2 linked regions of the Caenorhabditis elegans genome follow. The protein of the gene in region 1 purifies or fractionates together with the protein of each later gene. This does not show direct contact. Each region holds a gene or a part of one and is shown on either strand. Other genes may lie near its edges. The genes, in order: srrt-1 and spt-16.

Region 1 (5,471 bases):
CTAAATAAAATGAAAAATCAAATTTTATGGTTAAAAATCGAAAAATCGAAAATCGGCACCCTTGCTTGGGCCATATTTTGCTTTAAATTGTCTTTTTTCTGGTTACGTTCTGATTTTTTTTAATTTACTACCAAATTTAACAGCAGTTTACAATTTTTCCCAATTTGTAAAAAAATTGTTCAATAAACCCTCACCTGGTTTTCTTTTCTCAATCTCGTCGCCTCCATTGCCTTGTGTCGAGATCCGGACATCACATAACCAACTTTTTCGTATTCAGCAATCTCTCCAGACGATAAACCGATTTCTCCTCGTCGTGGAATACGTTCTCCGCGAGCCGCGTACGCAGCCATTCCGGCGCCCTCTCCTTTTAGTAGATCTTTACCATAGTTTCCGGGCTTCTCAACATCATAACCACCACCTTGATCACGTTGTTTAATATGTTCTGGGAGAATTGGCGTCGGTGACATACTTCCTTCTTTCCATGTTCCAATCGTGCCAACAATCTTTTCAGACTGCTTTTCTTCCCATTCTTCTTCAGTATCAGAACGATTATTAATCTTTCTCTTCAGCTCAGCACGTTCTTTCTTTCGTTGCTCACGACGAGCTCTTCTCTCTTCTTTCTCCTTATTTGCCTTTTTGCTCTTTTTCTTCTCTTTCTTTTCCTTCTTTTTATCCTTTTTACTTTTCTTTGATTTCTTCACCTTCTTCTTCTTCTTCTGTTCAAAATCACTTTCCTCCGATTCAGAAGATGTCGAAGAATCGTCTTCAGAAACATTTCTAACTGCTCTCATTTCTCTTTTCTTCTCCTTCCTTCTATCTTCTTTCAGTTCTTCTCGTTTCTTTTCATTTTCTGCTTGAATCTCTTCAGCCGCAACTCTCAATTTATAAGTGTCATGTATCTCCTCATGAGTTGGCGAATGTCCCCAGATGTTATTCAGGCCATCGGCTTGGATATTAACTCGCTGGAAACGTCTTTTTGACCACATTTCAGCTCTACGATTTTCTTCTTCATCCCTCCAATTTCTAACAGGCGGCGAGCCGCTTCGTTGTCGTTGTCTATAATTTCTTCTTGGTGGAGACTTTGAACGGCTCTGATCTCGTCTACGTTTTGCTGGTGGTGGACTTCTTGAGCGTTGTTGTCTTCTCGGAGGAGGAGATCGACTCCTGGAAACTTGACGTCGTGGTGGAGATCGGCTTCTTCTGACTGGGCTCCTTGAAATTCGACGACGTCTTGGTGGAGAAGGACTACGACGAGTACGACGTGGTGGAGATCGGCTTCGTTTTCTTGGAGAATCATCACGACGTCTTCGTGGCGGTGAGGCACTCGGAGCACGAATTGGCTCTCGTTTTCGTTTTGGAGGCGAATTTTTTACAACTGGGCTTGAAGATCGAGAACGGGAGTCTGATTCGGAACTTGAACGGCTTCTACTTCGACTACTTCTGGAGGAATCTCTGAAATTATAAATTATAATTATTTTTATTTTAAAAAAACGTAAATTTCGCTTCAGAAAATCCAAAGTAGTCTCAAATTTAGAAATATTACAAAAGAAAATCGAAAAAATCCAAGTTTAAAAAGCGCGATTTTCCTATTCTGGTTTGAGAAAATGTTGTATTTTTTAAGCAAAAATTGATTGAAAACTCACCTTTTTGACTTCCACATTGGTTTGTCTTTGTCCCCGCTGCCACTATTCGTTCTTCTTCTGTTCTAAAAGTAATTTTAAATGAAAATAACATTTTTTGAACGTGCAAAACGGCAAAGTACCTCTCTCGACGATGATCTTGAACTTCGTGAATCATCTGAACTGCCTTCATAATCCAAAGAAATATCACTCATCTTGTGAATTGAAGTAGAAATCGGCGCGCAATCAAAAAATTCCGGAATTCAATAAAAAAATGATTTCGAAAATGACTGGAGATAAAAAAGAACAGAATTTCTGCGCGGCGGTGTTGCCGAGCAAGTCTCCGCCCACTTTAACCGTGCGGCGTGCAGCGTTCAAATTGGAAAAAAACATTGCGCGTTCTTTAGCATATTTTTCAGTGATTTTCTGCATTTTCTGCTCGCAAAATGTGTTTATTTTGATCCAAATAAATTTGATTTCTTCTGAATCACTTCAATTTATCAAATAAATTCTTATTTACAGAATGGTGGACTCTGATGATGATGGCGATCGCCGCCGTGACAAATTCGCCCGTGAACGTCGTGATGAGGAGTAAGTTTCTTTCTATTATATTTCAAATACTAAAAAATCACTCATTCTGTTTCAGTTATCGCCGTGGTGGAGGCGGATTCAATCGCTATGACAACAAGCGTCCTGGAGGACGAAGAGATGATTACCAAGTAAAGCGGAGTCGTGGAGAGTTAGTATCGTTTTTTGTTTACGTTGAAAATCTATGTTTTTTCAGCGACGCAGATGACAGTTTCGATCCCGTAAGTCGTTCTGGTAATGGTTCGGATTTACCCACTGAATCGGATTCCATATATTCGGGACCACTTCAAACATTCAAAAAGTTCCTCACTAGCCAGGAAGATGATATCTCGGAAGAAGATGCTATCAAAAAATATAATGAGTACAAGACAGAACATAGAAAACATCAACTTGAACGGTTCTTCCGTGCCCATAAAGACGAAGAATGGTAAATTTCAGCTTCGATTTTCAAGACCAGAGGCGCATTATGCCGCGGTCAACGGATTGGTTATATCTTTGAATTTTTCACTCGGCACGGATGCCATTCACATTTTGTTCCAATACCCGTTGTCTTTTAATATCTTGAGTTCTAATTTTTCAACATCTATTTCAGGTTCCGTCTTAAATACAAACCGGATGATGCGAAGAAGTTGCGAGAGGCGCATTTGGAAAATGTGCAGAAGCGCTTGCAGGTTTTCAATGAGTTGAAGGAGCAGGGACAATTCAATAAATTCTCTCTGGATTTCGGAGATGCGGAGGCAATCATTAGAATGCTAGATTCAGGTAGATTTTGTTTTTAAAGGTTTCGAATATATGTTTAATTTTGTTGTATTTTCAGTTGTTGTCAAGCTGGAAAATGGAACTGAAGACGAGTTGAAAGCTGTTCTGGCTCAAAAACTAGAAGACGAGTCACTCGCTGACATTAAAAAAGACGAGAATGGGAATGGAACCGAACAGCCGAAAGAAGAGCCAGAAGTAAAACAAGAATCCGGAGCAACGGAAGAGTTGGAAGAGGGAGCCATTGAAGATGGAACCGAAAAGTCATCGAACAAGGTCAACATCCACAGAACCTGCTCGGTTTTCTTGAGAAATATCCCACCAGGTCTCACATATGAGGAACTAGAGGGTCTCTGTAAAAAGAGCCCAGGATTTTTACGTCTTGCTCTGACCGATGGAATTGCCGAAAGAAAGTTCTACAGAAGAGGATGGGCTACATTCAAGCGAGATATCAATATCAAAGAAATCTGCTGGGCACTCAACGCACATCGTCTGCGAGAAACTGATCTGAATGCAATCATCAACCGTGACATTACTCGTCGTGTTCGTACCAATAATGGGATTGCATCTCATAAGCAAGTTGCGATTAACGATCTGAAGCTTGCTGTCAAGCTCACTGTTCTTTATGACAAGAAGATTGGTTTGTTCAACGCTGCTGATGAAGCTGATGCTGATCGTGAGATGGATATTCGTATGGGCGTTGATTTAGTCGCTGCTTCAACGAATCCGTTGATTAAAGAAGTTAAATCACTTGTTCCACATGATGTTCTCAATGATATTAGTGAAGAGGAAGCTGAATTATTGGGAGTCTCGAATGGAGGTGAAGCACCAGCTGAAAAGATTCGGTTTGAGCGCGATGATAATATCCTGAAGGCTCTCGATCTTCTCATCGTTTACCTTCGCATTGTTCATTCCATCGATTTTTATAATCACGGACATTATGCGCAGGAAGATTCGATGCCGAATCGATGTGGCTTGATTCACGTTCGTGGGCAGCCGCCTTCTGGAGTATCAATCACTACTGACGAGGATGGAGCTCTCGTCGTTCCACAGAAATTTGTGAACGATTTTATTTCGGGATTCAATAGCCGCATTGAGAAAGGGTTGATTGAAAAGCAGTATGTAAGCGAGGAAGAATTGGAGAAAATGGGCAAGAAGGATGGAGAAAAGTAAGTGAAAAAATTTGCTTTTTTAAAAATAATTTTTAACAAACCCAAATTTTCAGGGAAGTTGAAGCTTTTATTCAAAAGAATACTGTCGAGTTGGCAAAGGATAAATGGCTCTGTCCGCTTTCTGGAAAGAAATTCAAGGGACCTGAATTCATCCGAAAGCACTTGCAGTCTAAACATGAAGACAAGCTGGAGGAAGCGAGAGCAGAAGCTGACTTTTTCAACAATTATCTTGCCGACGCCCAAAGACCAGTCGACTGTGAGCCCAAACAAGCTCCAAGAGATGATCATCGTGGAGGTGGTGGTGGTGAGCGAGGTGGATATGGAAGAGAACGAGACGATGATCGAGGACCTGGTGGTGGAGGAAGTGAGTTGTTCAACTCTTGAAATTTCATAAATATGATTAATTTTCAGGAAACTCTTTTGGCGGTGGAGGATATGATCGTCGTCCCCAATTCCCTCCTCGACATTCACTTGGTGGACGAGGTGGTGGTGGACGCTACTTCGAGGATGCGCCACGTCGTCAGCCAGTCTCGTATCGCGATTTGGATGCTCCAGATGATATTCCATAATTCCATCCTACGTTGAATCCAATTCAAATATATGCACAACAAATTATGCTATTTATTTCCCCCTTCTCAATTAAATATTAGTTTTAACTAAATGTTTTTGTATGGCCAATAATAATCTCCTTTTTTAAAAAACGCTCCATTTTCAATACGTCCCTAATGAAATATGATTCTGTGTAACTCAACGGAACTTTTTATTAGAAAACAATCATCATAACAAGAAAAGTAAATATAACATTTAAAATTAACAAAAGTACATGTTTTCCCATCTCACTTGTCCTCCAAGTGCATCTTTTTCAGTCGGAGGTAGAACACAGGAGCAATGGGATCATCTTGGTGGGTTACTGTCTGGAAAAATACAGAATGTTGAAAGTTGGATTTCAAGTATTACGGGAGCTGAGAATGTGTATTGCGCAACATATTTGACGCGCAGATTGTCTCGTAGCGAAAACTACAGTAATTCTTTAAATGACTACTGTAGCGCTGTTGTCGATTTACGGGCTAGATTTTTTGAGATTAATTTCTTTTCGAATAGTGACAGGGTTTCTTCACATAATTTTCTATATTTTTTCGATAAATAAAGAATTTTAATTATTTTCGAAAATCAATCCCGTAAATCGACACAAGCGCTACAGTAGTCATTTGAAGAATTACGGTAGTTTTCGCTACACGATATTGTGCTCGCCAAATATGTTGCACCATACGCATTCTCAGAATTGTGTAATATCTACCTCCGTTTCATCGATAACAATTCGCTTTTTAAAAAGCGG
Region 2 (6,812 bases), 6.7 Mb from region 1:
GATACACAAACTGTTTCTCTACATTCTATCACCAAAAGAACTCCCAGTTCAACTATTTTCAGAACGATAAGCACCTTTTCATTATCACTGATCTCCACGTAGCGAGCTCTCGCAGCTGTCCATGATGCGGTTGTAGCCTGTGCTGATTTTCGAATCAAATCCATCTCCTTATCGTCTTTAACTGCGAACAGATGAGTAAACGCGAGAGTAACGTCATTCTTATTGACACCGCCTTCCTCGAGCGCCTTATTCCACGAACTGACGAATTCCGAGCTGAATTTCTCTTTGACGAAATTTCCAACATCTCCGCCTGCACTTTTGATGTGATCAATGAGCTTTTCAAAGTTTCCAGCGTCTTTATCGGTTTTATCGCGGAGCAGTGTGCTGACTGTTGGCACTTTTCCTGAGCTCTGATTGTCTCCAGTGACTGATCCGAAGAATTCGACTTTGCGATTACTTCCGAGAATGTAAATGTGATCATTGAGAAGCAACAGGACTGTGTCAGCGATTTCGTGGCCAAAAAGCCAGGTCTGAAATAAAAATTTGTCTTGAGTTTGAACAAAGTCTGAAAAATCCTTACAAATAGTTCGCTGGTCTTTGTATATGGATTATCAGTCTCTCCGTATACAAAAGCAAGTGATTTGATCGAATCTAGACCATCGGCTCCCTTCTCCTGTAAAATATTTGTAAAAAAGTAAAAACTATCAAAAACAGATCCAATGAAAATAAAATGGAACTCGGTAATTTTCAAACTCAATCTCACAATTTTTCGATGGAAAACATTTTAAAAATATAGCAATTCTACAGCTTTTATGGCAAAAAAATAGGGAAAAAATTAGAATTCAAAAATGTTCGTCGACAACAACGCAAAACCACAATCGTGTCGAGACCCATCCGAGTAAGCCGATGTCCCTTTAACCAACCCTATCGCGGTTTTTTTTTAAATTTTTAAAATTTCTTCAAATATTTCGTCCGTTTCTCTTGTGGACCGCTGTTAAAATAGTTAAATACTTTATTTTTCAGAAAACAGATAATTTATACCAAATTGACAGATGTAGAGCTAAACTCCTCAAAATTTTCTAAAGTTCTTATAATTTTACTGTTGTCTGCGTTTCAAGGCCTGAAATATTGTAGGCACTATCGTAGGATTACAACCGGATTTGTAACTTTGATTATCTGAAAAGGAAAAATATTAAACTTTTCTTTCAGGATTTTTCGCAATTGCCGGCGTAATAATTGCTAAAAGTCGACTTTAACTTCAATATATTTTAGCATTCCGAATCTGAAACTAGTTCCCAAATGCCATCTCTCCTTATCATTATAGTCTTCTTGCTGGTATTCTTGGAAATTGGATTTTTCCCTGTAATGTGTGGATGTTGGATGGATGTTTGTACACTTCCATTATTCAATATAACATTATCACAAAGAATTGCAACATTTGCCACAGCTCCATTCATGTCAATATTCCTTCATTGGATGGTTGGAATGATTTATGTATTTTATTCAGCGTCATTTGTGATTCTTCTTCGAGAAATCCTTCGTCCTGGTGTACTATGGTTTATGAGAAATCTCAACGATCCCGACTTTAATCCAATTCAAGAAATAATTGATCTACCGTTCACGCGGCATTTCCGAAGACTTGTTGTATCTACAACTCTGTTCTTTTCAACGATTCTTCTGACATCCTACATCCCGCTCAACATAATCTCATCACTTATTCCACATCTTCTACCCTACAGAAACTCCACTTTCTGAACTCTCGCTGGAATTGATGTTTCTTCAAGAATTCATCACAATTGTGTACTCTCACATGGCCCCTCCGTAAATAACATGGCGGGAATATTGCATGCGGAGTGGTTGCGAAAGTGCGTGCGGCTGTTGCGTTCCTTGACCACGCCCAACTTCATTCCATTCTTTTTCGCGCGCAATCCTCACTTTCAGCTCTAATTTTTCAGAGTTTACAGTTCTTCAGTGAAAAAATATTTGTCTCGTCAAAACGTTTTTTTCAAAATTTTAAAATTGTGTCAAAAAAAATTAATTTTTTCGCAAATTTCAAACTTTTAGCCTATCCGAATCCGTTGCTGGTCACTTTGTTTACGTTATCGATTTTTGCTTCCATCTCTCAATCCTCGTGACTTTAACACAATTTCTAACTTTCAGGGGAGAAATGTCTGGAAAACGGGCAGTTCTCAACAAGGATCTCTTTTTCCAGAGAGCGGAGAGGCTTTATGAGCACTGGGTTTGTGACTTTCAGGACTTTACGAATTTTTAATCAAATATTTTACAGGAGAAGGGAGCCGATGGTCTAGATTCGATCAAATCACTTGCTTTTGTATACGGAGAGACTGATAATCCATATACAAAGACCAGCGCACTATTTGTAAGGATTTTTCAGAATTTGTTCAAACTCAAGACAAATTTTTATTTCAGACCTGGCTGTTTGGCCACGAAATCGCTGACACAGTCCTGTTGCTTCTCAAAGATCACATTTACATTCTCGGAAGTAATCGCAAAGTCGAATTCTTCGGATCAGTCACTGGAGACAATCAGAGCTCAGGAAAAGTGCCAACAGTCAGCACACTGCTCCGCGATAAAACCGACAAAGACGCTGGAAACTTTGAAAAGCTCATCGATCACATCAAAAGTGCCGGCGGAGATGTTGGAAATTTCGTCAAAGAGAAATTCAGCTCGGAATTCGTCAGTTCGTGGAATAAGGCGCTCGAGGAAGGCGGTGTCAATAAGAATGACGTCACTCTCGCGTTTACTCATCTGTTCGCAGTGAAAGACGATAAGGAGATGGATTTGATTCGAAAATCAGCACAAGCTACAACCGCATCATGGACAGCTGCAAGAGCTCGCTACGTAGAGATCATTGATCAAGAAAAGGTGCTTATCGTTCTGAAAATAGTTGAACCAGGAGTCCGCTGCAAGCATTTCTACATAATTAGCCAGTTTTTGGTGATAGAATATAATGAAGCAGTTGATGTATCTGAAAATAGCTTTTAATTCAATTGAAAAAGCGGAAGAACTGCTCAAAATCAATCTGAAAGTTGGAAATCACCCGAAAATTAAACTTTCATGCAGTTTTTGAGCGTTCTTCCAGTTGTTTCAATTAAATGTAAAGCTATTTTTAGATGACTAAACTGTTTTTCCTTTTATCTATCACCAATAACTGGCTCATTTTTTAGTACTCCTGGGAAAACCACTGTTTTAATCCCGAGAAAATAATTCTTTTTTATTTTTGCAGCGAGTCCGTCACTCTGTTCTCTCCAATGAGTTTGCCGCCTTCATGAAGGATTCAAAAGTACAACAGGCACTGGCCAAGTATGAAGCCGACACATGCTATGATCCAATCGTAATGTCCGGTGGAAATTACTCGTTCAAATGGAATCATGAAAGCTCGGAATCTCATCTTCACAGCCAGTTTGGAACGATCATCACTTCGTTCGGAGCTCGTTTATCAGAATATTGCACAAATTTGACGCGAACTATGCTCATCTTCCCATCTTCTGAACTTGAGACTGCCTATGAAGCGATTCTTGCCGCCGAGCTGGCAGTAATTGCTGCTCTGAAGCCAGGAGCCAAGCTGAGCGATGTTTATAAAATTGGAATCGATACATTGACGGAGAAAAGTCCAAAACTTGCTGAAACTCTGAACAAGAAAGAGCTTGGATTTGCGACTGGAATCGAATTCCGTGAGAGTCGTCTTGCTATCAGTGCGAAGTGTGACGAGGTTGTCAAAGCAGGAATGGTCTTCATCGTTTATATTGGTGTCGATAGTATTCCAAACAAAAATAAAGGAGAAAAAGGAAAACCCGCCGCAATTGCAATCTCGGATACAATTTTGGTTAAAGAAGAAGGCGATAACGAGATTCTCACCGAAAAAGCCAAATCACGCCTGAAGTCCAACGTCATCAAATTCAAAGAGGAGCAGGAAAACCGTGAAGCTGAAAAGGACAATGATCAGAAGAAAATGCTCGGAAGAGGTCAGAGAAGTGTCGTTCTAACTGATCAGACGAGAAATAAGACGACAAACGAAGAGTTACGTAAGGAACGTCAGAAAGAGCTCGGAGTTCAGTTGAATGAGCTCGCAAAAGCTCGTCTTTCAAAGCAAGGCGGTGGGACCGATGAGAAAAAGTCGAAGAAATCGAATGTGTCATATAAAACCGAAGAGAGATTCCCACAAGATGCAGACGTTCAGAAGATGTTGATTTTCGTGGATCGCAAGTATGATTCTGTGGTTGTTCCAATATTTGGAATTCCTGTCCCATTCCATATCTCCATGATAAAGAATTGTTCGCAATCAGTTGAAGGAGATTTCACATATCTTCGAATCAACTTTGCCACTCCAGGATCTCAAGTTGGAAAGGATAGTGGGCAATTCCCACATCCACTTGCACACTATATGAAGGAGCTCACGTTCCGTGCGAGTAACATCAAGGATCATCACAGTGATTCGACTGCGCCGAGCCATAATTTGAGCACCGCATTCCGACTCATCAAGGAAATGCAGAAGAGATTCAAGACTGAAGAGGCTGAAGAGCGGGAGAAGGAAGGAGCTGTGAAGCAGGACAAATTGATTTTGAGCCAGAACAAATTGAATCCGAAGCTCAAGGATCTTCTGATTCGTCCGAATATTATTCAAAAGCGTATCACTGGATCGTTGGAGGCCCACACTAATGGATTTAGGTACAGTTTTGAAGGAAAACGAATGTTTCTGAACTCAAAAATTGCCAAATTTGAAAACTTTCGTTTCGAAATTATGCCGTTTCGGATCAGTTTTAGTCTATTTAAACAAAAAAAATCTAAAAGCTCAAAATTTCCTATTTTTATTTCAATGATTTTCCAGATACACATCTCTTCGTGGTGATCGTATTGATGTTCTCTACAACAACATCAAACATGCATTCTTCCAACCGTGCGACAATGAAATGATCATCCTTCTGCACTTCCATCTCAAGAATCCAGTATTGTGGGGAAAGAAGAAGTATAAGGATGTTCAATTCTACACAGAAGTCGGAGAAATCACTACGGATCTTGGAAAGTATCATCATATGCAAGATCGTGATGATATGCAGAGTGAACAGCAAGAACGTGAAATGCGTCGTCGTCTCAATGCTGCATTTAATAGTTTCTGCGAGAAGGTGTCTCGTCTCACAAATGATCAATTTGAATTCGATTCTCCGTTCGCTGGACTCGGATTCTTTGGAGTTCCGTATCGTTCGGCTACCACACTCAAACCAACTGCATCGTGCCTTGTTAATCTCACCGAATGGGTATGTTTTTTGAATTTTATTCCTGAATTCTTTTATATTTTATTTATTTTCAGCCTACATTCATCGTCACACTCTCCGAAGTTGAACTTGTCCACTTTGAACGTGTCTCTCTTCAACTCAAGAATTTCGATATGGTCTTCATCTTCAAAGATTACAAGATCAAACCTCAGATGGTCGCCCAAATCCCGATGAGCAGCATCGATAAGATAAAAGAATGGCTTCATACTTGTGATATTTGGTACAGTGAAGGAATTCAATCACTGAATTGGGCAAAAGTTATGAAGACAATCACTGATGATCTTGAAGCATTCTTTGAAGAAGGTGGATGGAGTTTCCTTAATGTTGAATCTGATAATGAAGAGGCAATGGATGATTCTGATGATTCGGATGCTTATGATCCTGAAGAAGAAGATGCATCTGCTGGATCAGGAAGTGAAAGTGATGAAGATGAAAGTGAAGGTGAAGAGACTGAATCCGATGATGATGATGAAGGATCGTTGGATTCCGATGAATCAGAAGGAAAAGATTGGTCAGATTTGGAGGAAGAAGCAGCGAATGCTGATAAGAGACGTGAAGTCGAAGAACCTTCACGTGATCGTGATCGTAAGAGACCACATTCGAGCAAGTCTGGACCATCGCACAAACGCAGAAAGTAAATCCTGTTTGTATAATTTCCTCCGTTTTATTCTTTTGTTTTGTTTTTCAACTATTTAAATCCCCAAGAATTTTCTTCGCATCTCAATCAATCAATCCGTCCCGTTACACCCCCCATTTTACAACAATTTTACAACTAAAATCTGTCAATCCCCTTATTTTTCTTTCCCACTCAAAATTTGAGTCGATGCTAAAATATTTTTGATTTCAAAATCAATTAATGTCAAATGAAGTTTCATGGAGGCACGTTTTTACATAATTTTGTCGGTTTTCTGAAAATGTTTCCGTTTCTACTTTTTCTGATTAATATTACAACAACAAAATTATACAGATTTCTAAAAAGGAAAAGTTTTGCCAAATGGGTCTCGCCGCGCAGACGACAGGTTACTGTAGCTCGTGTTGATCTTCGAGCCGCTTTAGAATATTATGCAAAAGCGTCATAGACACGAGTTACCGTAGTCCTCGTGGCGAGACCCATTTGGCGAAAAGTTTTAATTTTAGACGTCTGTGTAATAAGCAGTTGCTTGAAACATGAAGATCGTATGCAGAGGGTGGAGCATTGGAATGCTCTTGACATGCCACGTGTCTTGCACTTAGCCCTCTGATTGCGGTGGATTTGTGGGTTCGGTGAGTGGGAATTTTGCTGAAAATAATTTTTTAATTGAATAAACTCGCTAATTTCCGATTTACAGATGCCGAAACCACCTGGCCCAGTGGCAAAACGGTTAAAACTGAAGGATGATTCAGTTTCGGGTTCCGATTCAGCATCTACGAGAACGAGTCGAAAAACACGTGGAAAAATGATGAGAAGTAATGAAAAAATAGGAACTTTGACGATGGATGAAGCCATTAAAGCTGCTGAGAAGATTACAGGATTTCAGA

What was found.
Region 2: the proteins of srrt-1 (region 1) and spt-16 fractionate together in Caenorhabditis elegans (co-fractionation; one large-scale study listed by BioGRID). This does not show direct contact.

Annotation. Positions count from the first base shown.
Region 1 is NC_003279.8:4,130,359-4,135,829, forward strand, and holds srrt-1 (Serrate RNA effector molecule homolog), read left to right. Parts: upstream 1-2,141; 5' UTR 2,142-2,142; coding exon 2,143-2,210; intron 2,211-2,265; coding exon 2,266-2,358; intron 2,359-2,403; coding exon 2,404-2,634; intron 2,635-2,799; coding exon 2,800-2,969; intron 2,970-3,024; coding exon 3,025-4,132; intron 4,133-4,188; coding exon 4,189-4,499; intron 4,500-4,546; coding exon 4,547-4,704; 3' UTR 4,705-4,879; downstream 4,880-5,471. Other genes in the region: let-504 (NF-kappa-B-activating protein C-terminal domain-containing protein), read right to left, coding at 195-1,452, 1,644-1,705, 1,763-1,834; dph-6 (Diphthine--ammonia ligase), read right to left, coding at 4,972-5,049, 5,433-5,471. UniProt on the Caenorhabditis elegans protein: Acts as a mediator between the cap-binding complex (CBC) and the primary microRNAs (miRNAs) processing machinery.
Region 2 is NC_003279.8:10,786,970-10,793,781, forward strand, and holds spt-16 (FACT complex subunit spt-16), read left to right. Parts: upstream 1-2,160; 5' UTR 2,161-2,167; coding exon 2,168-2,239; intron 2,240-2,287; coding exon 2,288-2,380; intron 2,381-2,430; coding exon 2,431-2,886; intron 2,887-3,247; coding exon 3,248-4,689; intron 4,690-4,849; coding exon 4,850-5,276; intron 5,277-5,329; coding exon 5,330-5,932; 3' UTR 5,933-6,183; downstream 6,184-6,812. Other genes in the region: F55A3.2 (C2H2-type domain-containing protein), read left to right, coding at 6,623-6,812. UniProt on the Caenorhabditis elegans protein: Component of the FACT complex, a general chromatin factor that acts to reorganize nucleosomes. The FACT complex is involved in multiple processes that require DNA as a template such as mRNA elongation, DNA replication and DNA repair.